Linked DNA regions of Alligator mississippiensis. The protein of the gene in region 4 purifies or fractionates together with the protein of the main gene of each other region. This does not show direct contact. Links are inferred from orthologs where the notes say so. Each region holds a gene or a part of one and is shown on either strand. Other genes may lie near its edges. The genes, in order: EXOC7, EXOC8, EXOC1 and EXOC3.

Evidence for each region.
Region 1: the proteins of EXOC3 (region 4) and EXOC7 purify together in Homo sapiens (affinity purification with mass spectrometry; 5 studies listed by BioGRID and IntAct, counting the BioPlex papers as one, with this or other methods). This does not show direct contact. The link is inferred for Alligator mississippiensis from reciprocal best matches to the Homo sapiens genes EXOC3 and EXOC7.
Region 2: the proteins of EXOC3 (region 4) and EXOC8 purify together in Homo sapiens (affinity purification with mass spectrometry; 5 studies listed by BioGRID and IntAct, counting the BioPlex papers as one, with this or other methods). This does not show direct contact. The link is inferred for Alligator mississippiensis from reciprocal best matches to the Homo sapiens genes EXOC3 and EXOC8.
Region 3: the proteins of EXOC3 (region 4) and EXOC1 purify together in Homo sapiens (affinity purification with mass spectrometry; 5 studies listed by BioGRID and IntAct, counting the BioPlex papers as one, with this or other methods). This does not show direct contact. The link is inferred for Alligator mississippiensis from reciprocal best matches to the Homo sapiens genes EXOC3 and EXOC1.

Annotation. Positions count from the first base shown.
Region 1 is NC_081831.1:13,533,152-13,540,195, reverse strand, and holds the start of EXOC7 (exocyst complex component 7), read left to right. Parts: upstream 1-4,030; 5' UTR 4,031-4,078; coding exon 4,079-4,138; intron 4,139-5,585; coding exon 5,586-5,651; intron 5,652-6,656; coding exon 6,657-6,841; intron 6,842-7,044. UniProt on the Homo sapiens protein: Component of the exocyst complex involved in the docking of exocytic vesicles with fusion sites on the plasma membrane.
Region 2 is NC_081824.1:149,731,562-149,739,012, forward strand, and holds the start of EXOC8 (exocyst complex component 8), read right to left. Parts: upstream 3,008-7,451; 5' UTR 2,793-3,007; coding exon 1,218-2,792; intron 325-1,217; coding exon 1-324. Other genes in the region: DNA-dependent metalloprotease SPRTN, read left to right, coding at 3,259-3,503, 5,028-5,127, 6,625-6,753, 7,438-7,451. UniProt on the Homo sapiens protein: Component of the exocyst complex involved in the docking of exocytic vesicles with fusion sites on the plasma membrane.
Region 3 is NC_081825.1:60,853,107-60,860,772, reverse strand, and holds the start of EXOC1 (exocyst complex component 1), read right to left. Parts: upstream 3,008-7,666; 5' UTR 2,916-3,007; intron 2,582-2,915; exon of another isoform or gene 2,559-2,581; intron 1-2,558.
Region 4 is NC_081826.1:146,164,641-146,172,048, reverse strand, and holds the start of EXOC3 (exocyst complex component 3), read right to left. Parts: upstream 3,002-7,408; 5' UTR 2,897-3,001; intron 235-2,896; exon of another isoform or gene 56-234; intron 1-55. UniProt on the Homo sapiens protein: Component of the exocyst complex involved in the docking of exocytic vesicles with fusion sites on the plasma membrane.

The DNA.
Region 1 (7,044 bases), on a different chromosome or scaffold from region 4:
GTTTCCAGCCATTACCAGTGTGGCATGGCTTGAATCTGGAGGCCTGGAGATGAAGCGCTCAATATCCTAACAGCACATCGGTGGCAGAGCCACACAATCCTACAGTCTTTTTTTTCATTTACTTTTGGAAATAAATATTGGGTTGTTTGTTTTTTTTACTTTAGCAGACCCTCATTCGGTGACCCTTTGCATTTTATTAGCAATCAGTGCTCTGTCTGACAGTTTATCTTTCATGCAGTGATGAAAGTGATTTGCATTTGGTCTGGTGCTGTACGGGTGAATGGTGCCTTACCAGAGATTGATGCTTATCTGTGGTTTTTATTTATAGTACATGCTTGATTATGTGACCAACTGATTATTGGCAGGTGCTTCCTAGACAAGAAGATTGGTTCAGAGACTACAAGCCCTGCCCCTTCACAAGACCTTCTGCAACATAAATTCAGTTCCTTGCTCCAGTGAAAACAGTGAGGGGAGGTTGGGTGCAGGAGACAAGGGTTGGTGCCTGAGAAATGGCTCGCATGGTTCTCTTCCCCCAGCTCCTCCTTTTTCCGTCAGTGGGCCAAGCCATCCCACAGGGGGTGAGCAAAGCCTTTTTGCTGGTCTTTTACACATCAAGTCCTATTCAGGAGACCCTCACACAATATGATGGTGTCAAGGGCAGGGTCTAGGCAGCACCTCTAGCATCCAAACCTTATAGTGGATGAGTGGGACAGCAGGAGGAGCAAACACGCACAGTAATTCCATCCTGCGGAAAGAGGATGGATTTCCTGAAGCTCTGGTTAATGCCCCTTTCAGCTATATGACCCCTTAAACAAGCCTGCAAGCTAAGACAGAAAAAAACACTATTTATGCAGCCAGATCAGCAATACAGCAGAAACACAGCAGCAGTTTGGGGGGAAAGAAACAATTCCAATATTGCTGTGGTTCCGCTTACGCCTCAGATCTCATTAAGATAAAGCATGTCACTGCTGCGGCAATAGGGTACAGGATGCAGGCACCAGATCAGCAGAAGAAGAAGGTGACTTGAAGAAGTTTCTATCTATATATGTCAAACAGACCTCTCCAGCCCTGCCACCTCAGTTGAGCCTGAGAAATAAATATGTTAACGCAGTCACCAGCCAGCAATTTTGCATGCAGAAAACACAGTTATATGCCCCCCCATTCAAAGAGGCAGTTGCACAAACACAGCTGTTTGCCACATGATAAGGCTTTCTGCAATAGAAACTGAAGTTACTGAACAAAGGCTAATTTCAGCTCCCACCAAGCTACAGGGAGAGAGAATAATCAATGTGTGCCAAAGGGAAGACAAGTGAGAGGGGGCTTTTCCCTTCTCACTCAAAGTCTCCAGGAGGGCTTAACCAATAGCAAATAAAATCAAGCCACCCAGAGTAATGGGATGGGGTCTCAGCCAAGGGCAGCACCCCAGAAACTGCAACAATCCTGATTGCTGTGAGCAGCACAAGAGGCTGCAAGAAGAGTCAGTGCCAGATGCAGTGCAATTAAAATCCTGTCCCTAGCTGCCAGCAGGGGACAGAAGATGGATGCACCAAGGGGCATGGTGCTCTTTCTCCTCAAGAGGCTATGCAGGATGGATCTGGAGCAGGGTTAACTGGATAAGGATTCCTGGCTTCTGGCCTCATAGCTATAACTGCCTTTTTATGGGGCACCAGGCAAGCCCCTTTTTGTTTCTCCCTCAGTAAAATAAGGCTGATCATTCCTACCCAGCAGAGCAGCTCAGAGATGCCATTAGTTATCGGGAAAGCCCGTTGACAGGTCAGATACTTTGGAAGGGCAAAATCCAGTTGCTTTAATTTTATGACCAATGTGTCGCCTAAATCAGCTCTGGCCCCACTGTGCTTGGTGCTGCCTACATAGCAAATGATTGGTGCTCTGATTTATTAACAAGCATCACCTCAAGCTTCCTTCTTCTCATGCCTATGCTGCTCCCTACTGTAGTGCTGGATCCCAGCTGCAAAGAGCCAGCAAGGGAAATTCCCTCCTCCTCTCTTTATGCCAGGTTTCTAGGCACAAGCAGTATACTCCCCGGTAAGCTGTCCATTTCCCCCTTCCCTCTTGGTTTTTTGACTTTATCACACGCAAATCTATTTAAATTGTATGCAGATCTGTTCTCAGTATGGTATGATATTCAACTCATTCGGCAGCATCGAGATCTTTTCTCCCACTGCAAATGAACACTAAAGATAAATAGCAGGTGCGTATGGCGAAGCGGGGAGAGAAAGGGGCAGTTTGGATACTTTGCATTTGTTAAAATAGTTTTGCTCCATGGCTACTGGAGGTCCCTGTCTCCAGTTCTTTCACGTTGGTGCTAGCCACAGAGCCTCTCTAGCTGTCTAACTCTCCCCCCTTGAGGATGTAGAGAAGGAAAGTTGGTGCCAGGGGACATCTGGTGGACATGCTGCATTTTGCACAGTTCTGGCACTTGAGCAGGGCTGGGAATTGATCACGTTGCTGTCACTCTCCTGCCATCATCCTCATGATCACAGTCATGATGTTGGACTTCCAGTTCTCTCAGCATTTTCCACTTGGAAGGCACAGGTCACACTGAGACCTGCTGGCAGCTAGAGGCTCCCAGGGGATGCTGCCTATCTCTTCTTACATACTTCCAATCTAGCAAAGTATTTCTGTGCCCCTGTTCCCCGTAGCACCTGAGAGCCTCTCTACTGCAGCAAGAAAAGACTGCATCGGGATGAGAATTATCAGGAGGAAGGTATACGAGGTCAGGGTGCTCATGTGAACTCCTGAAATGAGAGGGAGTGTCTAGGGACCTCCTCTCATCTCCACGTGCAGGGGGAGCAGTGCACGGCACCTATTAGGGCTAATTGGCATTTCTGTGCGTCAGCAGCAGTTAGTCAGGCACTGAGGTGAGAATGGTCACCCTGGCATTCAGTTATTTTTTAGTGGCAGCAGCAGCACAAGGCACTGTGACATCCATTAACAGGGCTGAGCACTTTTATGGCCTTTCCCATTCAAGCATTGCAGAGTATGTGAAAGCATTAATCTTCGTGATGCCTCTGAGAGGTTGGTAAATGGCATCTTCAGGCACGCTTAGAGCGAGAGGAATAAATGATGGGATAAAGAGATTATCCAGCATTGAACCAGAAAGTCAGTAGCAGCACTAGCAAAAAGAAACCAGGGGCCTTTACTCCTGATTCCCTGCTAGTCAACATCACAAACTTGTGGATAAGGCACAATATGAGGTGCTTTATCCATCAGCAGTCCTGGGTTTTCCAGGGCCAAATGTCAGGCTGTCCCAGAGTTCTCCAGGACTCCCTCTCGTGGGATGCAAGCCCCAAATTTGAACAGCGAAGCCCAGATCGGTATAGGATCAGGTCCAGCATTGGACAGGCCCGGAAGCTGACCAGCCGCTGCCAAGGTCAGGGCTGCTATTAGCCAGCTGTGGGCCTCAGAAGCGTCTCCTTGAAACGTGGTCACTTGAACCGGAAGACTGGGAGAGCCTGGGCCCAAAGCAGCCTGCTGGGAGACGGGAGAGCAAATGTACTTCATCGCCTTGTGCCTCAGTTTCCCCAGGCAGAACGCAGAGGGAGGTGCTGCGCTCCCGGGTCGAGGACTGCCACCCAGCAATGAGATGCCATGCAGGGGCCAGCGAGGATCGTGCACATGGGGTACGAGAAGAGAGAAGGGCCCTTGATGCATGCAGGTGAACCTCGATTTTGCCTGACACTGCTCTAGCGGAGGCAGTAAGAGGTACAACAGCCAAGGCATGGCATGGCACGCGCACCACATTCCTCATCTGCTCCCTACTCATCACTAGAGATGCATGCAGTCAACACTCCTGGAAAGCAACGACACTCCCAACGTGGCCTTCCCCGGGCCACTGCCACTCCCAATATGGCCGCTCCCTGGAGGCGCGCATGCGCCTTGTGTCCCTATGCAGCGCACCTGTGCGCCGGTTCCCGCCACTCCCAAGATGGCTGCCAATGCCGTAAGGGGCGGGAGGTTGCCACTCTCAAGATGGCGGCACGGCGGTGACGGGGCCGCGGCCGGGTCGGGCGGAAGTGGGCGGTGGAGGCTGTTGCGGCCCGGGCTGTAATGCGGGATGGTCCCCACGGAGGAGGCGTCCGCGCGGCGCAGGGAGATCGAGGGCAAGCTCAAGCAGGTAGGGGGGCGGGGCGGGCTGCCGTGGGGGGGGGGGGGAATTTCCCCGCCCCGGGCCTGGGCGCACACACCCACCCCAAAGCACACCCTCCCGGCTGCAGGCCTGGCACACCCCACGCTGCACCCCCGTCCTGCCCCGGGGCCCGCACCCTGATCCGGATTAAGCTGCAGCCTGAGGAGCACCAAATGCAGTCACTGCAGCCCCAGCTTTGGGGAGCTGCACAGCTGTGGTGCGCCCACCCTCCCTACATGTCTGTACACATATGTGCCATGTCTGCGTATTCGTGCGCTGTACATGTATCTGTCTCTGTGTGTTATATGACACGAGTAGATATACACATGTACATGCATGCGCTCGCTCGCTCTCTAGGTATAGAAAGGAACTCACTCGCTCTTATCTATATATTGAGAGAGAGAGCGAGTGTGCACACACGTGTGTATATTTGTGTGTCCTAAAGAAAGCCTATGGTCAATGGAGAAGAGCGAGAGTGCACAAAAACATACCTGTATGTGTAGATAGATATAGAGATCTCTCCATGTAGGTTTATATCCGTATCTAGCTCTTTATAGATATAGAGATCTCTATCTAGATATAGATATATATCTTATCTATGGATGTCTAACTATAGATCTATCTATATATGTAGATACACACACACACACACACACACACACATGTCAGCATATATGTAGATGTGTGTGTGTGAATGTATATATATAGAGAGAGAGAGGGAGAGCGTAGGCTTGTCAAGCATGGCCCACAGGCTGGATCCGGCCCACAGAGCCCTATGATGCAGCCCATGGATCCCTGGACTGACTGCACACACTGCATAGGGCAGGTCTGGGTCTGGGCCTTGGCCCTGGCCCTGGCTGTGTGTGCTGCACGCGGTGCATGGTCTGAATCCAGCTCCTCCCACTGCACGCAGCAGACAGGTTAGTTCAGGGTATGCACTGTATGCGGTGCCCTGCCAGACTGGCACAAACCTATCCTACCATTCGGTTTGTACCTGCTGCGTCCATTGGTGGGCACAAGGCAAACTGCTGAGCCATGTTTAAATTGAACTTGGAGCATGTCAGACACGGAGTGAGCAACATAGGTAGGAAGCAGACACTAGGACCAAAGTTGTGTCTGCGCTCTGTACCTGCACCATAGATTTTGCTTCTGGCTTCCGGACTGCAAGCTGTACGTTGTTGCATTGAGGCTCATCATGCCCAAGGAGAAAACCTTCCCTTATTTAAATTGTGTGTTTAGGTCACACTGATTATGTTGCTTTCTTTGGGGTAAATACATTTAAGTAGAACCTAAATACTAGGTCTAGAATGATTTGCCAGGATGTTCCTTCTAGGAGGAGTTAGAAATGCTGGGAAATGTTTTGCCTCTGAGCTTTGGAAGTTCACCTGTGCTGCAGAATTGATTTTTTTTTTCTTTCTTTCTATACCAATACCAGGAAGAAGAAACACTGTCTTTTATAAAGGAGAGCCTGGAAAAAAGTGATCAGCTCACAAAAAACATGGTAAGTCAAATCCCTTGAATTCAGTGAAAAAAGGAAGGGTATAGTTTGCTTAGTATCTTGTTTATATTGTTAAAACAATGGTCCAATGAACAAATTACCTAGAGATAAATTGGGGTGTGAATTTATAATGTTTCAGGTGCTCTGTGGTAATTGCCCATGTGTGTGCTGTTGTCTTGCAGTATGTGAGAAGCATTCCCTGCTTCCGTGGAGGGTCATGTCCTATTTGCTGCAGGGTTGTAGCATGCATATAAGCAGTTATCATGCAGTAGCTGATCTGTCAACCTGTACGCTATCTTACTGGGTAGTAATTTGTTTGTCTGACCATACCTTGATAGGATTTTTTGGGGAAACTGATGCAGTTTTTGGTACCTGATATAAGAGTTATAAGATATGTGATGTATTAGACCTCTTGGTGAAAGAGGAAAGGTGATAAAGGTAGTTGGTTAGAAGCCTGTTGTTTGTGAAGCTGTAGTCTCTCTAGGTTCCTGTATATCTCCCCTCATCTGAGTGTCTCCCATGTATGTGGAAATATAAGTAACTTTCTCTAGTCAGCAACAAGCTTATGTTGTTGAGTTTTTCTGTTTCTATTTTTTTAACTGTTAAAGAGGAATTTATTAGCAAGCTGGGTTGAAGAGTTGAGTCTTGCACTTAGTCCTGAATACAGTGATTTTTGTGGCTTTTTATTAACTCATTTGTTCAAGAGTTCTGTAGCTGAGGTCTGTCTCCTTAAAGATCTGTCTTCCTATGCTTGTGAGCCTTTCCATGACTGGTTGCCAGTCTCATGGTTCCAGTGCGATGCAGCTGATGTTATGAAACCTACGTGTAGAGAAGAGGAGATGAATTGGATCAGGATAGACAGGTTAAGTGACTTGCCTAGGGAGCTGTAGTAAATCCATAGTAGAGTGGGAATAGAGGCTGGGAGTTCAGGATTCCCTGCTCCCTTCTCTAATTGCTAAGCCAAAACATAGTGCTGCTGTCTGTTCCCCTTTTTCCTTTGGCTTGTAGGTTTCCATCCTTTCCTCCTTTGAGAGTCGCTTGATGAGACTGGAGAACTCAATCATCCCTGTGCATAAGCAGACCGAGAATCTGCAGCGCCTGCAGGAGAATGTTGAGAAGACCCTGTCCTGCTTGGATCACGTCATTAGCTACTACCATGTGGCAAAGGACACTGAGAAGATCATAAAGGAAGGGTGAGTACAGCTGCAGTACACTGCTGTCCTCAGCTATGTTGCTGGATCTCATTGCTGTTTAGAAGAGTAGGAGTTGTTGGATCCCACAAGGATCTTGGTGATCTCAGTACTCTTTTACACATTTCCAAGACCTTCTTCCCACTGCATGCTGCAGACATGTCAGCCAGACCTATCAACAGTGCCCCCTGAGGGAAAGAGCTTGC
Region 2 (7,451 bases), on a different chromosome or scaffold from region 4:
TGCTTCCTCCAAGAAGGCCATAGTCTGCTTGGTAAAAGCAACCACAGTGTAGCTAAGATTGACCCAGCAGTCATCACCTGTGTACTGGTCAAAACTGCCCACACCACAACTTCTCATTTCCTCTCTAAGTTTTCCCAGAGCCTCGGGAGTCATCAGGTTCATCTTTCTCCACATCTCTTCAGAGTTGCGATGCTTGGTGGCCTCAATGATGATATCCTTGTAGCTCTGCAGAGCACCTTTGATGTCTTTCACCAGCAGGGTGTGAATGATGAAGGTAAGGTCCAGTCCAATCTCACTAAGCTGCTTACAGTGCTCCTTAGCTACCTACAATAACAAACATCATTATTAATACTTATCTATATGCCACATAGACACAAGCTACTTAACCACCCCAACACCCATAAAAATAGGTAATTCTTAGTCCTAATTTGCATACCTGAAAAATAAGGCAGTGATTACGAGTCTGGAAAAGAATACACACTGCACTTTATTCTGCCTCTCTTTAACTTATGTATCTAACTTTTTTAAATGACAGAAATACAGATCCTGTCTATCATAAATGTCTGTAGTGTTTTACAGAAATGATTGAGAGTAGATTCAGGCTAGACATCAGGAGGCATTACTTCACAGTCATGGCGGCTAGGATCTGGAACCAACTTCCAAGGGAAGTGGTGCTCGCTCCCAACTTGGGGGTCTTCAAAAGGAGGCTAGATAAATCGCCTACCCGGGTTCATTTGATCCCATCATTCTTTCCTGCTCGTGGCAGGGAGTCAGACTTGATGATCTGCTCAGGTCCCTTCCGACCCTATCAACTATGAAACATAATTATGATAAAGATGTCACAGTTTAGCAACTGGGAAATAAAGGAGTTCAGTATTTTTCTTGAAAGCCTATGTTAAGGCATATTCAAATCCAATCCAATAAATATTTTGTAGAAAAGGATTCTTTGCTAAAGTTCCAATACTCCCACTCTTTTAAGTAAGGCCAAAACCAGCATTTCTGATAATAGTGGGGCAAAACACAAACAGAAGAAAGGCAATGCAAAGCCCTCCACACCCTCCCTTTACTAAAGAAGGGAAGCTATAGGTGAATCTGTTTTACCACCTCCTGCCCAAAAACAGTAAGTTAGCTGAGAGAGAACGAGACATCCAGGGCTGCAGAATTCCAGGTTTCTGCTCAATCGACTGGACTGTGCTGCCTTTCTTATACGTGCTTACCTTCACACATTCAGCAGCAGTTGACAAGCTCTCTTTGCTGTCAAACACCTGCTTGCTGAAGGCATCTACAAACATCTTCATGGCAGAGCGTGCCCACACAACGAAGGCGGAGTAGCAGCCGCTGTTACCAGCAAAGTCTGTCTCAAACTCCCTGGCAGTCTCCAGCAGGCTGGTGAAAAACACGTGGCAGAGCTTGTGGATGTACAGCAGAGTGGCACCTTCAATGCGCAGCTGACGGATGGCCGTGTGCACAGCAGCCGCCCGGTTCTTCAAGAACAGCTCGCAAGCCTTGGTTGATTGACCCAAGCGAATGAGCTGAGAGACAGCCCGGCGGGTAGCCCTTGGCCCACCACGCAGTGAGCGATCTGGAGAGAGCTCAAACACCAGCACATCCGTGAGCTGCCTAACTCTCTCATCCACTTTCGCCCGGAGCTCCCTCACCGGCTGGCTGATGGGCTTGTCTGCCAAATACTCGTTTAGCTTATCCAGCAGGTCAACTGCACCCTCAAAATCCCTCTGGGCGATGCAGACATCCAGGTCCTCAGGAAGCTCCTGGATCCACTCCAGGGACAGATCCACTTTTTCCTCCTCAGGTGGAGGCTCCACTTCATCCTCATCCTTCTCGAAGGGGTTGGATGACTCTGGAGAGGGCAGGGCTGCTCGCGGCAGAGCCTCCTGCTCCAGCCGCAGCTTCTCGCTCAGGGCGCGGCTCCGCTTGGTCTCCTCCAGCACCTCCAGCCACTCCTTCTTGATCTTGGCGTTCTCAGCCTGGAAGATGCGGCCCTCAGGGAACATGAGCAGCTTGAACATGTCCTTCATGGGCGGGTTGTCCTTGACGTTGACAACAGCCAGCCCGTCCAGCGGGTAGAGGGCGTCGTAGCGGTAGGCACCACGCCGGTTGGGCAACCAGGTGGCCACCAGCAGGCAGTCATTCATGAGGAAGGCGTGCACTCGCTGCACCTGCGCCATGTGGTCAGCGTCATACTCCACCAGGTCCCCGTTGTACACCAGGTACTTGCCGGGGCTCTCGGGCAGCAGATCCCGGCAGCCCTCCACCTTCTCCAGCAGCGTGGTAAGCGTGCGCTGCCGGCCCTCCTCGCTGGCCGCCACCTCCTTGGCCGACAGGGGCAGGAAGGGGTTGTTGACGCGAGAGTCGGTGGCGGCACGGCGGGCACCCAGCGCGGGGTCGTCGCGGTCGGCCTGCAGCAGCAGGGCCTGGGTGACAGCCTCCATGATGCCCTTCTGCTCGGTGAGGATGTGGCTGAGCTGGTACATCTCGCTCTCCAGGTAGCTGATCTCGCGCGCTGTCTCGATGAACTGCCGGTAGTTCTGGTAGACGTTGCGCTTCAGGCTCTGCGCCGTCTCCTCGCTCAGCGCCTGGATGCGCTGCCGGTGCTCCTGCAGGTCCCGGTCGCCGTCCGACTGCTGAGACAGCTGCTTCACGTACTCACCCGCCGCGAAGCTCCCCAACTCCAGCTGCCGCCGCAGCCGGCTGCTCCCGGGCCCGCTGCTGCTGCTGCTGCTGCTGCCGCCGCCCCCCGCCGCCAGCCCGCCCTCGCCCAGCGCCAGCGCCATGGCCTCACCCGCCGCCCGCCACGGGCCGCCAGACGCTACCACCGCGCATGCGTCCCGCCGCGACGATAGTCGCGCTCTTTTGACGTTAGGCGCATGCGCACTAAGGAGCGACTACCCGGCACAGGCGATTTGACAGAGCACGCGCAGATAGAATGGCGTTTCTTCCCCTGCGACGCGGAGGAATGGGAGGCTGCGCAGTGCGCATGTGCCACAGCGGCGTGCTTCCAACGATACAGTGAGTGGGGTGATGCGCATGTGCTGAAGGCGGAGGGGGGCGGGTAGGGAGGGATGCGCATGCGCCAACGGCAGGGGTGGGTGGAAGGTTGTGTAGACTGCATTGCGCATGCACTAACGGCGGGGTTGGAGCTGGGAGGGGCTACGTGCCGGATTGCGCATGCGCAGTTGCGCACAGCAAGCGCCTCAACGGTCGTGAGAGCCGGGCGCATGGAACGGCTGCCGCGGTATCATGGACGCGGACTTCCTGATGGCGCTGCACCTGCAGGCGCAGTGGGAGGCGGGGGAAGAAGAGAAGGAGGTAGCGGCCGGCGCCCGCCCCGAGCCGCCCGCGCGGCCCCTCTCCGTAGTGGACGAGTCCTGGGAGCTGCTGGACCCGAGTCCGGACGTGCACGGCCTCTTCGTGCAGTTCAACCAGGAGCTGTTCTGGGGGCGGCTGGCGGCCGTGGAGGTGTCGTGGAGCTCGCGGATGACGCTGTACGCGGGGGAGGGAGGGCTTGCACCCCGATATGTGCGCGCGCACTCTCTCTGCCCCGGGGGCCCTTTCCTGCCTTGCCAGCAAGGCTTCCTGCTGCAACCTGAAGCTCCCACTTCACGGCCCCCGCAGGCAGGCTGTTTGTAACCAATTTTAGCCACGTGTCATTTGTTTAATGCTAGCTCAAAATGTTCGTTGGAGTGCGTCCATGCATCCCTCAGGTGGGGTGAGGTAATCGTGGATGGTCCTGTTTTGACCTCCTGAGCTCAGGTGATAGTGAACTTGGGTGTGGGAATCAATCCCATGATAGATGCTGAAGCTGGCTTGATTTTGTGTTATGGATCTGAAGGAGACAGACAGTTAATTCTCGAGGACGGGGCTAAAGAAATGCCGCCTCCTGGTTTTTTTTTGCCTCATTCGTTCCGTTGGGGGCGGGGTATACAAAACATGGGATATAGCAAATGGATGCACGTTCCAGTGAAGCTGTACTGGTTTTTCCCTTCTGGTTAAGTGGAACAGCACAGCCCCAGGCCCCAAGCCTGTTGGGAAAGCTTCTAGTTTCTTTTTACCCAGAGAATTATGCACCTCAGTGTCTGCACCCCCCTTCTCCAAATCCTATTTTTGCCCATGCTCCCAGCCCTGATGCCTGGCCTCTTCCCTGCTGGCTTTCTCAGCTTTGGGACTCCTGTCTATTGGCAGTAATAGCAGCAGCCCCAGGCTTTGTTGGGAACCTGGCTCCTTTGTCCTCACTGCTGTGTCTGAGTGCTGGCTCCTCAGGGGTGAGTTGGAGCAGCCACCTGGCTCTGCTTTGGTCCCCTTAAAGACCTAGAGTAGTTTTTGGGGTTTTGGGTTTTTTTGACATTATGTTTTCCACATCCGCACAAGGTAAAACTTGGTCCAAGTACAAAATCTTTCCCAAACTGCATGTCAGGCTTGAGATTTTGGTACTTGCACTGTCTTTGTAGCAGGGCCATAGCTGTCTGCTCTGTTTTTATGAGGTGCATTTATTTTTTAAATGCAGCAGCAGAAAGTTGTAGATTTCGGCGAAGGGCAACACTCAGCAGATCTGCACTGCAAAGAACAGGTTTGGGCTTCTGTTTCCTGTTCTGTGCAAGGCCTGAGTTGTTTTTTAAATGAAAGTGCTGGTTTGTAGACAGAACAGGTCACCTTTGAATGCACAAATGGTATGTCTCAAGTTCTTAACTCTGAATCAAGTGTTATCAAATGGAAGCAAGTAAATTGTGGGTCATGGATTGTTGTTTTTTGTTTGTTTGTTGGGGGGGGTTGATAGTGCTTACCAAGATGACCTTTTCTAGTCTGTACTGTAAAAGGATTTAATACTTGAAAGGACTTGATTCTTAGTTTAGCAAGGTTGAATAGTTATCTGAAGGAGAGCTCTTTTTCAAGTACAGCTTACTTCAGCTATGTTAAGAGGGATCAGTATTTGTAAATCTACTTCTCAACTCTGCTCTGCCAGCTATGAAAGTAAATGGGAATTGTACGTTCTGTTTGTATTTCTCTTTCAGCTGTGCTGGCGTGTGCAGCTACGAAGGAAGGGGTGGAATATGTTCCATCCGCCTAAGTGAACCGTTGTTAAAGCTAAGACCAAGGAAGGACCTTGTAGAGGTATTTTAAGACTGACTGCTTATTATCTCTGTTAAAGGATAGCTGATAGTTTGCAAGGGAGGCTTTATTCACAGTGCTTTGTAGATTGTGAAGTAGCTTTTGGTTTTCTAAGAACCTTGTGTTTGGTGTTTTATTGTTAGTTGTTTAAACATGTAAATTGTTAATCTGTCAGTCACAACTTTTATTTAAACTGATGCTTTTCTGACTCCCTTAACTTTCAAAAAAATCCCCCAAATTAGCTTTCTGGCTCTTGAAATGCTCCTTCCAACTGTTTAAAAGTTTACTCTGCCATTTAGAGTGCAAAATAAAGTAGTTCAGTTTTACTTCTAGGTCAAACAGCCCAGTTACCCAAAAGCAAAGATGCGGGGTTTGACTATAAATGTAAGCTTCATGCTGTTCTTTGCCTCTCTGCTAAGAATTTATGAGAGTTAATTGCCATTCAAGCTGTGAGTGTAAACTACTGTTCTGCACCTGCTATGAGTCAAAGCCCAGGACAGTTGGATCTGGGGTACACCTGACCTCTTTTTACCCTGGTTTTCCAGGTTCCCCTTTGAACTATTTGGATGTAAACAGATGTTGCCTTTTGTTAGCCTATTTAAGTACTTGTGAAGTATGTAAGATATGGAACAGAAGATCCTAATGTAGTCTCTGTCCCACTTCAAGTACTTGTGAAGTATAGGATACAAGATAGGCAAACACTTTTTTCTAGGGCAATGCTGTGGTAACTAAGTTGAAAGTAATTCATGTGAGTTAGTTGCCAGTTGTTCCAGGGACAAGCCTGTCAGGCTGTTTGTTCTGGTGACTGAGCAGCAATGTAGTGTGGAAGGTCTGTACTTTCTCTCTTACCCTGGGATTTGACTTGGGTCAATCAGGACTGCCTCAAATGAAACATCTGTTTTCCAAGCAGCTTTAAACAGGTTTAAGAGGGTTTATGCCTATCTGCTTCAGATTTAAACTGCATTATTTAAATAGGTTTAAGTATTACATGTGTCATACCCTTTGGTGTCTGCCTGCTCAGTGCACTGGCTATGCGGAATTCCATTCTGAGGCACCTAACTCCTTATTCCTTATATGGGGAGCTTAAGGGACCAACTTGGGTTTATGACACTTAGAAAATAGGCATAGATGTAGACTAGTGATAAGAAGTTTTGCAAAATGTTTGTATCTACTACTTGCAACTACTCCACTCCTTCCTAGTGAAGTATTTAAAAAAAAAAAAAACCCATGGGAAGGTAGGCAAAGTTTGGATATCGTTTCTCACAGTACGGTTCCTTAGAATGCCCTTTGGGTCATACGGAGAGAAACTTTGTGGGTTTGGCAGTTTAGAGAAGTATTGTAGTATGTTCCTGACCCCATACTTAAGTTGTAGATTCATAGAAATAGGATTCATTACCAAAATAAGTATAAAAAAATAATGGGAAAACCAACCTATAAGCTATATTTTAAATAATATACTTTTTTTTTCAAGAAACATCAGCAGTTGCTTTTTTATTTCAGACTCTATTACATGAGATGATTCACGCTCTACTGTTCGTTACTAACGATGACCGAGACCGTGACTCTCACGGGCCAGAGTTCCGTAAGCACATGCGTCGCATCAATCGCTTGACTGGAGCCAATGTTACAGTAAGTGCTTTACAGTTAACAAAATGCTATCTAGCAGATTTAAACTCTGTCTGTCTATCTGGCAGTTCAAGCATTATGTATTTACATATTCCTGAATTACCATGACTGATATATAGGCATTTCTGTAGCCAAACTGTAACCTTGGGTGGATGTGTATTCATTGCATCGTAAGGGAAATGTAGGTTGAGGTTGGTGGGGCTTTGCACTTGCCTGAACTCTGTTGTGTATTTGGCTGGGAACATGCAATTCTTCAGTTAGAATGGCTCCAGAGATTATTTTCATTTTTAGGTTTGAAGTGGCCTTATGAACTCTGAAGAAAAAGCCCTTCAGTTTTGAAAAAGAAAGGCTGGTTTGCTTTGTTTTAAGAAGTTGTTTGAGAGATTATTGGATAAATGATCTTTATGTAGTATTAACGAGAATTTTTAAATCTAAAGATGCTGACTTTTGAGGAAAGACTTTGTTTCATGTTAAAAATGGCTTCCATGCGTGCTGCATGCTGTTAGCAGCTGAACTCTGTGCCTTGCTTCAACCCTGTCGTGCATGATCATTTTCCTTATGCCCATCACCAAGGAATTGAGAGATGATATTAACACTATGCATGTAGAGATGGTGACATACATATAGCGGATGATTCTTATAAAATGGGAATAAACATTGTGACTTGACTTCCTGTTTTACATTTAGATCCATCACAACTT
Region 3 (7,666 bases), on a different chromosome or scaffold from region 4:
GTCAACCAAAGTTCCACAGCTTTACACAATTTTAAACAGGGAAAGCCCAGGCTACTGTGTGCCTTTAAAACAAGGCCTTAAATCCAGTGTAAAGAGCAGTGTGCATCTGACATCCCAACCAACTCTCTGCCATGTGATGCTATCAACCCTGAAGTACTGTTTACACTATAGTCCTAGGACAAGGCCTTGGGCCACAGCACAAAATAATTTATCCTATGCAAGTAATTAGCACAGCTATTTAAAAAAAAATTAGAGGTGGACTGATATATCAGTTAGCTATCAAACTAGCACTGATAAAAGGAAAATTATATTATCAGCTATCAGCTTTCTTTGGCTGTTATAGCCGATAATGTTTACCAATAATAATGCCTTCTCACTGGGGCCCTGGACACCTGGGCTCCCTCCTGTGAACCGGGGTGACCTTGAGTGCAGAGGGCCTGATCCAGATGCAAGGGCCCAAGCCATTCTCCATCCCTACTCCCATCCCCTCACCAGCAGGCCAGACTGGACTCCAGAGCAGCTCATGCTGTGTCCCAAGCACTGGCATGGAGCAGACTTCAGGCTAGGGCTGGGGCAGGCTCAGTAAAAGACGGCAAGTTCTACAGAGATGTGACTGAGGTGGGAAGAGGTGGGCAGACCCTGAAGTGCCTGAGGTTCCACACCTTACAGACAGAGCCTGGTAGGACCAGGGGCAGGGGCAGCCACTCCCCCCTGCTCTGTGCAACAGGGTCTTCCCCTGGCCCCTCAGCCCAGTCGGGTCCTGTCCTTCCCAGGGCTGGGCCCATTCAGCCTCCGCCACGGGGCACAGGGGCTTGCCCTGCCTCTGGCAGCAACAGCACCAAGAGGGGAAGAGGCCCTTCTCTGCACTGGAGTCCAGCTCCCAAGACCTGGGGCCCAGCTGCCAGGGAGGAGCAGCATGATTTCTCCAGGCCTGGAATGGTCCTGTGGCCCTGCCCTGGGCAGAGGAAGGAAAGTAGGGAGCCTGGACCAGAGACCACCCAGCCCTGGGCAGCCAAGAAGGCTCACACCTTCCCCATCAACCCTGCTGGACAGACTCAGGCAGCTACCCCCAGGCTGGGGCTCTGTACTGTAAAGTTAACCCAGTTGATTCCAAAATAAAGCAACTATAAACAATGTTAAAAATTAAACTAACCACCACAAGTGCTGCCACTGTAAGAAGTGCTGTATTTTAACTGTCTGGGTTGAGTGAGACACCAAACAATCTTTTAAAACTTACGGATTAGTGGTTAGCAATTTTTGTAGGCCTTGCTTTTGCATTATTAGTGTTAGCAAAATAAAGCTAACCACAATTCATTGTAAATGTAAAGTTAGCAAGCACCTGAACGTACAAGAGATGTCTCAAAACCAACTTAGGCAAAACTGACTGAAACAAGGAAAACTAGTTCACCCTTCTCCTGAAATGTATCCATTCTGTCGTTGATCCAAGCTAGTTCAAACCTTGGAGTTTAATTGAACACCTCACCAGATTTGAGAAGGTCAGTAGCAATGAAATAAAAACCTCTTTGTCCAGAAGGAAGAGACTTGACCTCAGTGGTCCACATGCCTATCACCTTCAAACTAGCTGGGGCAAACTGCTGTTATCTGGGACTAAAAACAAAAGCAATATAGCCTTTCTTTCTTGCTTGGGCAAAACAGAGCAGCCTCCTTTCAGTCAGCTGAGATCAGCAAGGAGCACATCAATCCCACCCAGCACCAATCTTTCTGTGGATTCACCATCCAGCTTCTAACACCAACCCTTTGTTAGACTCTTCAAAGCAATCAGCAACAGGACACCACCAACATCAGCTGCAACCCAAGACAGCCCAGTCAGAATGAAGTAGGGCAGACTGGAGAGAAAAGTATTGTCTGAAGAATAGGCTTTCGAAGGAGCCAAGGCCAATTCTGGCTAACAAGCTAACCCCTACCATGGCCTAAACACATTCCAGAACATTTCTCAACCCCACTGGTTGCAAGACCATATGAAAAGTACAAACTTTAGAAATGGATTCTCCTTTAAAAGAGAAAAACATGGGGAACAATGGCTTTTCCCTTGCAGGTTGGCAGCTTGGGCCCACCCCTGCCCCATGCCCCCTACACCTCACACACTGCGGGGTGGGGGGTAGCAGGTTAGGCGAGGGGTACTAGCCATCGAAGTTTACAAATGGGTCCCATACCAAAAAAGGGTTGAGAATCACTGGTCTAGAAGAAAATAATATCACAAGCAGAGGCAGAAGAGGAGCTGCTTCTTCTCTGACTATATGGAACCTATCAGGGACATTGCGCAGTGGCAAATCTAGTTTACCTGGAAAGTGACAATGCCTCAAAAATCCCTCAGCAGAGGAACATTGTCAGGTTAAGCTATTTGCTAGCCCAGGTCAGTGCACTGTGCCTAGACAGAGGGCCCTGCTGCGCGCTCAAATGAAAGCTGGCTAGAAACGATCTAGAGAGTTGTTACAGTTCCCAAACATGCACTTGGTAGCTGGTTGCCTTTTTATAGCTAAAGTCGTTTTGAGCATGTGGTGACCACTTTGCACTTGCAGCTGCCTGCTTTATTGTACCATTCGCTGGTGAACCACGCAGTACATGTAATGAGTGGCAGAAACCGGGAGGCAACCACCTCTGAAGAACCCCGCAGCCCCGCGCTGCATCTGCCGGGCAGGTCCTCAGCCCAGGTCACGGGCAGGCGGCTCCAGGAAGCCTTCAGACCCCAGGGCGCGAGGATCGGGGGGATCCGCTCCCCAGCCTGCCCCTCAGGCTCAGATCGTCCTCCAGCGCCAGCCCCGCCTTCTGCGTCCCGCTGCCACGCCCGAAGCAACAAGCGGAAGAGCCCCGGCAACGGCCCGCTCCCTCCCGGGTCAGGGTCCGGGGCCGCCCCGCACCCCAGGCAAGCCTTGACGCGGCCGCCTGGCTCTCACCGCCGGACCCGGCACGCAACGCCTCCTCTTCGCCTGCGCGGCCGCCCGGCCCTGCCCTGCCCTGCCCTGCCCACCCGCTTCCCGTCACGTGACTGCGGCGCCCCGGAGCCGCCGCTGCCCGCACTGGGGGAGGCTACTAAGCGAGAGCGACCCCTTGCGGAGCGGCGGGCCAGTAGCCGGCTTACCTCACACCGCCCGCTCAGCTCCACCACAGGGGAGGGCGGGTACTGGAACGAGCCAATAGGAAGTCACGCAGGCGGGCGGGGGCGGGCGGGGGCGGGGGCGGGGCTAACTTGGCAGTGAGGCGGGGCCTCGCAGCGTTTCCCACCCCCATCTCTCCGGTTGGCTGGATCCTGGTGGGTGGGGTGTGTGATGTCCTCCCCCCTACCGTCATTATGACGTCAGAAGTCCATCAGAGCTAGGTGAGTAGGTCGGGTGTTACGTACCGTCGGGCCCAAGCGGGGCCGTATCCGGTGTGGTCGCGTGCAGTGCCGCGTCCTGGCCCTCGCGCTCTGCCGGGAGGTCAGCGGGAGGCCCGCGGCCCAGTGGCGCGGCTTTGGGCAGCCCTGCCACCAACACCGAGCGTCAGTCTGCAGCTGCATCTCTTCCCGCTGGCTTCATCTTGGCCAGGCTGAGCCGCGGTCTTCCTCCTGCCCCCTCTTTAGTGAACCGGGGATCTCGTCACCTGCTTTTGGACAGCTCTTTCCTGAAGAAGGTTCCTTAACGCCCTTGTAGAGCCGAGGTGAAACTTGGGTTTGGTCCATCTTGTGCCCATTGTGGGAGAGTTGCCCTCAAACTCAGAGTAATGGTACCCTGCGCTTCCGTTGCCGCCCCTACAGAGGCCTCAGAGCACTTTACACTTGATACGGCACCGTAGCTTCAGGTAGACATGGGGCGTAAATTCACATTTGCCACGAAAAGAAACAAAGGCATGTCACCTGGGGTGTATTCATGTGTAGCAGGCAACCTCAGTTATGCTAAGGCTTAGCCACAGTCCAGGCTTTCCCTGAGCAACGCAATAAAATTGAACAGAGTGCCTGACAGTCTTTGGAAGGAGTGCTGTAGTGGGAATGCTGTAAGTGAGGAATGTATAGCACTTTCCCTGTAAGGAAAGATAACCAAAAGTAGGATAGGATTGGTGTACCATATAAGGAATGGTTGGCACAGTGCTAAAGGATTTGGACAACTTGGGATAAGAAAGTTACAGAAGTAATCAAGAAGCAAAGGGAAAGCTGTGTGTTCGTGTTGTATCTCTGTGGAGACAGGGGCAACTATACCATGACCATGAGGGAAATACCATGACCACCAACATGGTTTTCATACTGGCAGGGCAAAACCACTTTCTTGGCAGGGGGTAGTACCCTGACTGAGGTAATGCATAGTTTGCCTCCCACTTTCACTTCCAGTGGGAAGATCTCAGCTATACACTGACTTTATGGAAATGGAAGACTCCTCCCTAGCTTGCTCCTGCGGCCATAAAGCTGAGGGCAAGCAAAAGTTGGGGGCATCCAAACCCTAAGCTTCCAGGCTGAGGCCTACATGTAGGGTGCCAGTCAAAGGATTTGGAAGCTTCTGAAGCCCCAGGCAGATGTACAGGATGCTTGCCAGTAGTAGGGTCACATATGGTTCTTGAATGACTCACGGATTTGGATTTGACTTTGGACATGAAAAATATTCCTTAAAAAAACCCAAAAAACTGTAGACTTTTTGCTCGAATAGCTGAAAAACCAGAAACAAACATCCCACACACCAAGCAGAGGACCCAAGGCTGGTATCACCAAAAGTTACTGCTGTAGTGTCTAAAGGAGCCACTTGCCAGGTTGTGTTATGGGGAGGAAATCTGTAATATTGCATAGGGCTTACTATTAAAGTTCACTTGATACCACATCGGACAAGTTGCCATGTCAATCCTTTGGGGCTCTGGTAAAAAAAATCCCATTGGTAACATCATGCAATTCATACGTGGCCCTTTGCAACCAAAGGTCAGGACTGGGTGCAACCAGAAACAGAACAACTTAAAATGGGACTAGAATTGTATCATTCAAGTAATCCATTATGTCTGTTACTGAGCACAACGGGCCCCCACTAAGCTGTCCCAGGAGACTTGCTTGGGAAATGATTCTGTAGTTTTCTGAATCTGTTCTTATAATGATCTAATTGTTAGTATGTGTCATTTTTAAAATAGAGCCTCCATGTTGTAAACATACAGCATCATTATTGGCACACACTTGTCAAATAATAGAAACACATTGAAGCACTAGCAGGTGATATGCTTCTAGCTGATATATTTTCTTTTGTAACTCATAAAACAATATTCTGTATACATTTTCTATAATGTATCATTCATGAGGGCCAGGGTTAAAAGAGAAGTCACAATGTGATCATTTCTCACTCAAACCACAAAATATAACTGTCTCTAGTAGGATCTATAAAGACTGGATAAAGTGGCTATAAAAGATTGGATAGAATTTGCATGCAGCTTTAGCTGGATATTGAGCACCTAATTCTAAATACAAAGCTCCAGGTTTTTTTCACTTTTAATTCTATTCGCACACCAAAAACAAAACAAAAACTTCAACAATTTGTTAATTCTAATGTGGAGTTACAAAAATATTTTGAGAATATTTTTAAGTTACACATAAGTCTTTACCTCCCCATCTACTGTCTCTCCACAGATGGACTGAGGAAGGCCTTAAATTTGCTTTTTTTAACAAGTTTCACCCTGCTTCTTGAGATATTATGTCCCATACTTATGCAGTATAGTGATTTGCAACTGGTAGGCTACAAGAGCGGTCAGGTGACACCCCACCACTGCCGCCATGTTTCCAGTGCCAGGCTGCCCCATGGGTGGTTTCCTGATTCAAGAAGCAGCAGAACCACCTTTAATGTAGTACTGTAGGCAACTGAGAGAGACAGTTGTAACTGCACAAATTATGTTCAGAGATACATGTACAGAGGCTTCTGGAGCATATCAGGCAAGCAGATCATGAGAGAGATAAGCTGAGGTTGTGCATGATGTCCAAGGGAGTTTGGTTTCAGGATGGCAGGTTGGGAGGAATGATGCAGTCAGGGAGGGAGGGTGAGCTATAGGACCACAAAGGTACAGAAACAATGACATTTTACAATACTAGACTATATTGTGAAAAAAAAAGTTTGTACTTTGCAAGTGGGTGTATGTGGGGAACATCCAGATAATAGGAAGAAGAGTAGGCCAGGGAGGGCTCTGGACCATACTGGGAGGGTAGATGAAGCAGCATAAATGTGATCTAAATGGGTAAAGGGGAACAAGACCCTAAAATAATTTAGCAACAGCTATTTGTATTCTTCCATTATCCATTTCAATTTCAGTTTGGTATAAAAATTCTAGCTGAATCCAAGACCCAGACAATCCAGTTCTCTGCAAATATTCTTTAGTGTGTGAATTTTAGTGGAGATAACAGCAATTTCATGAAACATATCATGGAAACTCAGTTACAACCTTAACAATAAAATAATTTTAAATACAAAGAGAGCTTTGTTATCAGAAAAGACGCACATAAAAAGGTATTCAATTTTAATATATATCGATAAGTTTCTTAGCTGGTTAAATGACCCTGGAAACACTGACTTCAGTGAAACATTCCTAAGTTTGTGTATCTATTTGTGTAACTGTCCCCATGTATGACTGAATGTTGATGTTTAAATATTTTCTATGGCAAGGTGGAATATGACCTTTTGTTAATAATGTAAGTCTAGACCGAAAGAAAGAAGACTGTATTATAAACAGATGTTAAAATAGTCCTTTCATGTCTCTGTATTTTCAGTTCTAACAGTTTAAATGTTAAAAATGAGATACTCCTCAAGACAAAAAAAATCTCTTTTGGAACATAATCCCTTCTACCTTGATTTCTCAAGCAGCTACATGAATCTTTTTTGCTCTTTCTGTCATGTTTATATCTACTTACTACAGCTCCTTAACCTTTCTCTGAAGTAACTGGTCCTGGACACCAGACCAGCTAGGTTGGTGTATGGAAATTCCTGTGTTCTGAGTGTAGCCCAGATAAGGTGTAAGGCACCATTTTGGGGAGCAATGTTTTTGTCCCTTAAACTCCTCTTTCCTCTGTTGCCACTACTGTCAAAGCCTTTTGTAAGAATGATGCCAAGACTTTTTTGTTAACCGTGTACTCTGAGAGACTTCTTTTGCAAATGCTTGTAATTTCTTTCTCTCTGATAATTAGATTTTGGAAAAGTCTCCCAAGGGAAGTACTGACAGACCAGGTGACAAATTTTAAAGTATTCCATGCATCTATAGCACCCGAAATTGTACTGTAGAGAGCAAGTCTGTATTAGCAGAGAGATGAGATATGTGACCTGTCAGGTTGTTTCCATTTATAATTTATCTGTTTCTGTATCTCAATGGAATAATGCATTCTGACTGTGGAGTGAAAGTCTCCTACATCTCATTTGATAGTGCTACCAGATCAGACAGATGGCAGAAGGTGTGCCATCATTTGAGGCCTCATCTAAGGACCAATGAAATTAAGAGGAGTCCTTCCACTGACTTCAGTGAGCTCTAGATCAAACCCCCAGCTATCTTTTTAATTGCTAATTTTGGCAATTAAATATTATATAATATAAATGGAAACTTCCCATGTTTTCTAACCTTTCCTCTCTCTTGATTTGAACATAAAGTTAGGAACAGCTAATGTATTATATCATTAACAAATTACATGTCAAACATTTTAATTGCATATATTACACATGCAATACAA
Region 4 (7,408 bases):
ATCATCAACTATAGGCATCGTCCAAGAAAATCTTTATCGGTGCACCCTTACTTACATGCCAGTCTCATCTTCTCTGGAGAATCTCACAAATTTTCCAAAATGGTACCTCTGTCTCATTGCTCAACTGAGCCAAAACCAGCCTCCAAAGATGTCCACTCCCTTTATTCACCAACTCCTCACAGTGTTTCTATTTAAGTCTTGAGAGTATAGGAACTTCTATCTCAACTTCTATCTCTACGGAGAACAAGAGAAAGAAAGAGCCATTCTGAAAGAGTCCCTTAATTTAGGGTTAAGACAGGTCTCTGCCCCATTTTCCTCCATCCCACTGGTTGACAGCCCAGAGGTTGCAAGCTTGAGGCCATAGCAGAAGTGTTCATGGCACAGCCCTGTCAAGTTCCAACGTATCTGTGAATTCTGCTAAATACCTTGTCAGAAGGACACGGAAAAGGAAAGGAAGTCCATAATGTTCCTCCCTCCACCCCGAAGATTTTTCTAATTACCTCTAAGCTTTAGAATCAAAGATCCTTGCCACAAGGCAGCTTCATTACCATAGTGAAGGCTTTGGTTAACCCATTAAAAATAAAAGGGGAATACAAACTCACAGAACAGTCAATCCCTTCTACAAATTATGTTGCTCCTAAGTGACACTTGTTGTTTTAGGGAGTATCATCTGAATATATGGTTTGAAAAATGTTCCTAGGAAAATGTTGCTGGTAAGAGACTGTTGGTCTTATAAGGTGATGCTACAAACTGTACATCTTTCTGAAATTAAAAAAAACTCCTACTGAACACAAACATGTTTGCACGCACATGCAAACACACAAACTATAGTCTTCTGAAACTCCCAGTACTCTGCATTTCAAAACAACACATGTGCAAAAGCACTTAATCTGCATTCAGTACTGCAGCTATCTTTGTATATATGCACATGCTCAGTTTGACATGTTAGAATGCCCTTTAAGAACAAGAATGTGTCATAACAGAAAATGTGTAAATTCTCATCATCTGTTCAACATGATTTTGGAAACATAAAAAAAAAATCACTCCTAGATTCAAATGAAACACAACTGTCAGCATAAAATTAGGGCCTTTTTTAGATACATGTAGTATAGAAGGAAAGTAGAAACCATAAAACAAGACTGCAGCCTCTATCCTAACACCACTGTCACCTACAATTCCTAGTGAATTGCCAAGAAAAGAGCCACACCTTGTTTATATGAATTACATAATATAAGCCTGGTCCATGTTAAAAACTCAATAGGAATAACCATTTCAATTGGGGGTCTGCTTTTCTTTCTGAACCAAAATAGTGACACACATGAAATCCCCATTAAGAACGCAGTTACAAGAGCACAGCTCCTGCCTTTCCTTGGCAGAAATGGTCCCTACTAGTAAACAAGGTGTTTTTTCCCAATCTAACCACATTCATTTTAAACAAGACTTGTGAAAACTAATTTCCTTTGCACTGTTGATCAAAGCAACTTATTTCAACAGCAAGGTTGCCACATTCAGCTGCTGTCCATCCACACTGGCTGGAAAGAAAAACTGGAAATGGGAGGTTAGGGCCGTATTATCTGTGAGCACGAGTGACTGGTGCCTCCTGAGTCTGGGGGTGCACCAGATCACTGACAGGGGGGATCGTCGAGCCAGCAGCAAAACCGGAAGTGCAGTGGTTTCACTGCTGGCACACCCCCTACGCGTCACCCATGTCTGTAAAGGGCATGAACACTGTCCTAAAGTGAGGGCAGAGCATCAGTGGGATGTGAGACAGCCTCCTGAATAAGAAACAAATCCTGTCAGAGAACACCTGACCTCTACGCACAAAGCCTCAGGGCAGTGCTTCTCCCCCAGGGCACCATGGCACCAGTTTGCCAGGCATGTAATAATTATCCTATTTGTATAATTTCAACCTTTGCATGATGTACAACCAACAACAGGAAAAGTGTTTAAAATTTATGATGTTATCCAGGCTGTAGCCATATTGGTCTAGAGAAAAAAGCAATCGGGACTCGTAGTAGAGATAGTATCTTTCATTATACCAACTAGATTTTTGAAAAAAAAAAAAAAATTAAAGAATTTTTTTTGTGCGTGCAAAAATCTTGCTGGTCTAATAAAAGATATAATCTCTACTATGAGTCCTGATTGCTAAAATGTACACCAGTTTTTGGGGTGTAGGTTTTAGCTGTGTTGGTCTAAGGACATAGGCAGACAAGGTTCCTTGGGCGAATCTGATATCTTTTATTAGACCAACCCAAATAGCTGGAGAATAGTTATTAAGCAAGCTTTCGAGTTCAAAAACCCTTCGTCAGGCTAAGGAAGTTTCAGCAGTTGGTGTGTGCTCTTCCTGGATGGAATGAAAAGTAAAGAAGCCAGGGCTGGGGAGTTCATTGACATGGCACATGCAAAACCCATGTCACTCTGGGAGCCTGAAGTCACTTTGAGGTTTGCTGTCAGCACTTTCTCATGCCGGCTGGCCTTGAAAGAAAGAAATGACTCAACTTTGACGACCCAGTTCCCACCCATTCACTGACGGCTTGTAGTGAGCAATAAAAGACTCGCTTGCGTGCTTGTTTGCGGATCTGTGATAGCGTTTCAGCAAATACGATAATTTGGAGCTTCCAAAGCGATCACTTCATATGTAAGACCTGGCCCCGCTGCAGCCTCTTGAAACGCCTCCGAGGCTGCGAGAAGCGCCGAGGGGCCCCAACACGGCTCACAAGCGAAGCTCAAGAGACGATTATTTTTCTGTAGCGGAGCCAGCGGTGAGGGAAGCTCCCACCTGCGCAGGGCCGCGGGCCAGAGGCGTGGGACAGCCGCTGCCCAACCCCCGTCACAGCCCGTCCCGCACGCTCCCCCCGGCCCCGGGCCCCTGGAGGAGGAGAAGGAGGAGACTCACCCGGCAGCAGCCCGGCTCGGCCCTGTCACTTCGCCCGCTGCCGCGGCGGCCCCGAGCAGCCGCTGACAGGCGCACACTGCGCAGGCGCCTGACGCAACTGCCGAAGCGACGCCCGCGAGTCTCCCCCGTTCCCCCCCATTGCGCCTGCGCTGCAACCCTTCCCCCGCCCCGCTCGACCGTCGCTACTGACCTACTGCGCCTGCGCCAACCCTTCCCCTCTGTTCCGTGCGGGCGTACTGCAGGGGAAGGCGGGAGTCTCGCGAGAACCAGTGTTGTGCTCACGGACGCGCCTGCGATGTTCTTGCACGTGGAGGCCAGCGGGTGGGTTCGAGGCGTCGAGCCAGGTGCTGGCCGGGGCCTGGGGTGAGCGGCAGTGGATCCCAGTGGCCAAAGCATCTGCACCTCCTGACCATGCTCTGCCGCCTGCTCGTGGCTCACGTACCCCGGCCGTGCCCTGGTGTCCCACACAGGGCCAGTGTTGTCAAGTCTCCTCAGAAAAGAGAGCGGCACTGCCTTTCAAAATATGCCTGACCCGTTTCCAAGAGAGGAGAGCAGGGGTGCTTATCAACCCGTGACTCCCCAAAAATTAAAGCAACTTAAAAAAACCCAAAAAACAAGCCTAATTCTGCTTACTATAAGCAGACTTGGTAACACTGCCCACAGGGCTTCTCATGGGGTGGGAAATTTAGCAGCTGGAGAGTGGTAGCCACTGCCCCTCTGCCCAGCCATCATGGCTGGATGGGGCTGCCGCCCTGCCCATCCAGTCCCCAGGGCAAAAAACTGGGGTGCCACTGGCCAAACCTCTTTGTGACCCCAGGTCTTCGGCCTAGTTCTCACCTCACCAGACAGGCCTGGTTCTGTATCTTGTCCAGATGGGCCCAGTTCTCCCTTCCTCTGAGGCTGGAGTTGGTTCCTGGTCCCCAGTTCTTCTTTCCTTGTTCACGGTTCCCTGTTCCTTCTTCAGATCCATAGGAGCTAAAAGCATTTGTGTTTATTATACACGTGGCTGCCCTCTAGAAAAAGGCAGAGGTGCTGCCCAACACAAAGCCTGGTTTTTGTATAGCGTGGTGCCACCTGGCAGGTTCCCCCTTGGACTTTTGTACACCGTGCTCAGTAAGGAGCCGAGTTAGGTTGAGACTGTGGGGCAAAATCTGTGTTGGGTCACCATCAGTGACATAGTTCTGCAATCAGGGGACTCTCTGGAAGCACCTTGAACAGGGCACAGCCCACCCTGAAGCTTGATTTTCAAGTATTCTTCCAATAATGTGTTTTGAGACTGCAAATTGATTCTCGTTTCTTTTCAATTACAGTTTCCTAGTCAAGGTTTAGAATGATTTGGAGAGAGGAAGCTGAAGTTGATTGGTTCTTTGTTCCCAGTTCCATATTCCCAGTTTCTTAATTGTGTAAAGATTAACTTTGAATAAGGAACCTGATTCAGCCTCATTTTGAGAGACAGAGGTCTGCTGATTTCTTTATACATTGTTTTACTTTTGTTATTGTTTCCCTGCACTGTCTGTTAAAATGTGCTGCACTGAAAATTATGCTGAGTTTATTAATTGCCTGCATTCATGTATTGCTTTTTCAGTTCACAATAAGGCAAAGGCATATATAAACAATTCTTGACATTCTTAGAAGCTGCAGCTTTAGATACATGCCCATATATTTGATCATATGTGTTACACATGTGTGTAAAATTGTAATATCAGCTTTCCTTTTCCCAGGACGTAATTCAAAGTGGGCATTAGGTGATGTATAGCACTCATATGCTTGAAAACCTAAATAGCTGTAGGAATTAAAGCCCAACTGAAGTCACATTTTACTTTTTGTGATGTGGAAGAGTTGCTTGGAAAAGCAAGGTTTGCCACCGTGATATTGTTAGAATACTCTGGTCAACTGTTAGTGTCTCTGCAACTGACATGTTTGTTGAGTTGGATAGCAACTTAGCATATAATTCATAATACAAGATTAAATGATTACATGATGGAGGTCTTCTAACAACAGAGCCCCTGATATCCAGGTATAAGTTACACACCCTTGCTCTCTAAAGATCAAACATTAGGTGTAGGTGGGTGTCCTGTACATGAGCAGTGTGAAAGGTGATGCAGTGATGTCCTGCATGTGAGCACATAAAGTTTTATGTATTCTTTACCAGAAACATCTTGTTTTCCATGGACTGTCTTTTATTAGACCAACTAAATAGTTGGAAATATTGTTCTTTGCAGCTTTCAGGCACAAACACCCTTCTTCAGGCATGGGGAGAGTCTGCTGTTGTTTTGTGCTCTCCTGGATGGAATAGAAGCCAATATGTAAAATGTAGGTCTGTGAAAATGCAAATGCATGGCAGTGTTTTTTCAGTTCTCTTAATTCTCCTCTTTCTTTCCAGCATGTGTGCTTTTCATGCATTTTACCGGTTTTGTGTTGTATTTCTCCTTTTACTTGAATTTCACTTATTATATGTTGATCATGTTTTCCTGGTCTCCCTTCAGTTCTCATAAAGAACCAAAAACACCCATCCCAGTTGCATTTTGCATTTTGCTTTGTATCAAAAAGGAACATTCATCTGTCTCGATTTCTGTGTTTTTGTTTTTAAACATAATCATGTTAAAACACAGAACATGCTGTATTATTTTAATTTTTTGGCCAAAATGCATCTGTCCATTTGTTTAACTGTAGCAGTAATTTTGATGTTAGAAAAATTTGTTTCCACTCATCCTTACAAAAAATTATATTGAATCTTGATGGACATGAAGCAGTAAATATACTTTCCTTGTGGAAAGGAAGCTCCAGACATAACATTTTCTGTAATGTTTTCACAATGCCCTCGAATCACTGTTATTAATGTCAGAGTCACTGCTAGCTAACTGTTTATCAATCTCTACAATTTTTACTAGGGGTGCACTGATAAAGATCTTTTGGGCCCATACCGATGGCTGATTGTTAACAAACCATATTGGCCAATACCAATCCAATTGCCGATATGCAGCCTGGCAGGTTGGAGAGCAGTGTCCAGTTGGTAAGTCTGTTGGGGGGGAGGGGCATGGAGAGGGCAGATTGAGGCCCCCATGGTGGGGGAGGAAGGGAGCTGGGGATGGGGCAGGCTCTGCCAGGGTGGGGCACAGGATGGAGCTGCAAGCTGGAGCTGCAAGCCGCTCATGCTGGGGGAGCCTCCCCCCTGCACCTGTGCACAGGGTGACAGTGGGCTGCTGCTACCTACTTGGGGCCAGAGGCGGTGCCAGGCTCTTCTGGTGTGGCGGGGCTGGGCCAGGGCTGCACTTGGAGTGAGTGGCAGTGGAGCTGGGAGGAGAGGTTAGGAGGGCTGTAGCCCACCCCGTAGCCCCCCCTCCCACTGCCACCCAGCTCAAGTGCAGCCCTGCCACGTGCCCCCCCCCCCCCGTTCCAGGAAGAGCCTGGTGCCACTTCTGGAAACAAGTAGGAAGCAACAGCTCACCATTGCCCTGTGCACAGATGCGGAGGAAGCCACCCTCTGCTCCAGCACCCCCACAGACGAGTCGCTCGCAGCTCCATCCTGCACCCTGTCCTGGCTAGACAGCACTTGCCCCAGCCCCATCCCCTCTTTTCCCTCACCATGGGGGCCTTTATTTGCCCCCACCCCATGCCCCTTCTCTCCCCCTGCCTCTTGCCCCCAACAGACTTACCAGCCATATACTGCACACCAAGCTGCTGGGCTGGCCACGTGCTTGCATGTGGCATTTATCACCAACATTATTGGCCACATCAGCCAAAAACAGCTGATTGCTGATAATGTCAATTTCCCTTTTATCAGTGTTGATATGATATGGACCAATAAATTGGTGCAACTCTAATTTTTATCCCTACAAGTATATTTTGCCCAGTAGTCATAGATTCAGAGCCAAAAATGTGTTTGTTTATATTGTTTTAGGAAATGAATGTCCTCTTCTTTGTCATCATTATTCAGCTGATGACCATACAGCATTGGTATCTTGAGTAGTGTTAGAATCTGTAAAATGGGGAAATCCTGAATCTATTCATGAATCAAAGGAACCTTCTTTGGTCTTGTGTGGTACCTTGGCAGAGCTACTACTGTTCAGTGCAGCTTCATGTGGTAGACAGAAGCATGATATATTATGTCTACAACATCTTAAGCAGTTTGAAACCCTAGGCGAGTGAAGTTAATCATTACATGGATCCTGGTTTTGTCTGATAAAAAAATCCCAAATTCTCTGATTAAAAAACCCAATAGCCGCATTTTTCTGTGATTAAAATGCAACACCAAATATATAGGTATGAGTTGAACGCCATGTTTTATTGATATATTTACAATTTTAAAGTTATTTGGAAGCCTACCGGTGCCTCAGTCATTATAATAAAATAAATCCTAAATATCTTTTGGCATTTGATTTTGTTTTTTGTTTTTTAATCATAGAAAATCAGAGCTATCCCTGCCCCTCTTTGCTCAGCAGGATACGGGTCTAGCTGAGGCTCTCCCTCCAATTGCTTTGTGGTGCTGAGCAGCCCTGATAAGCTGATGTT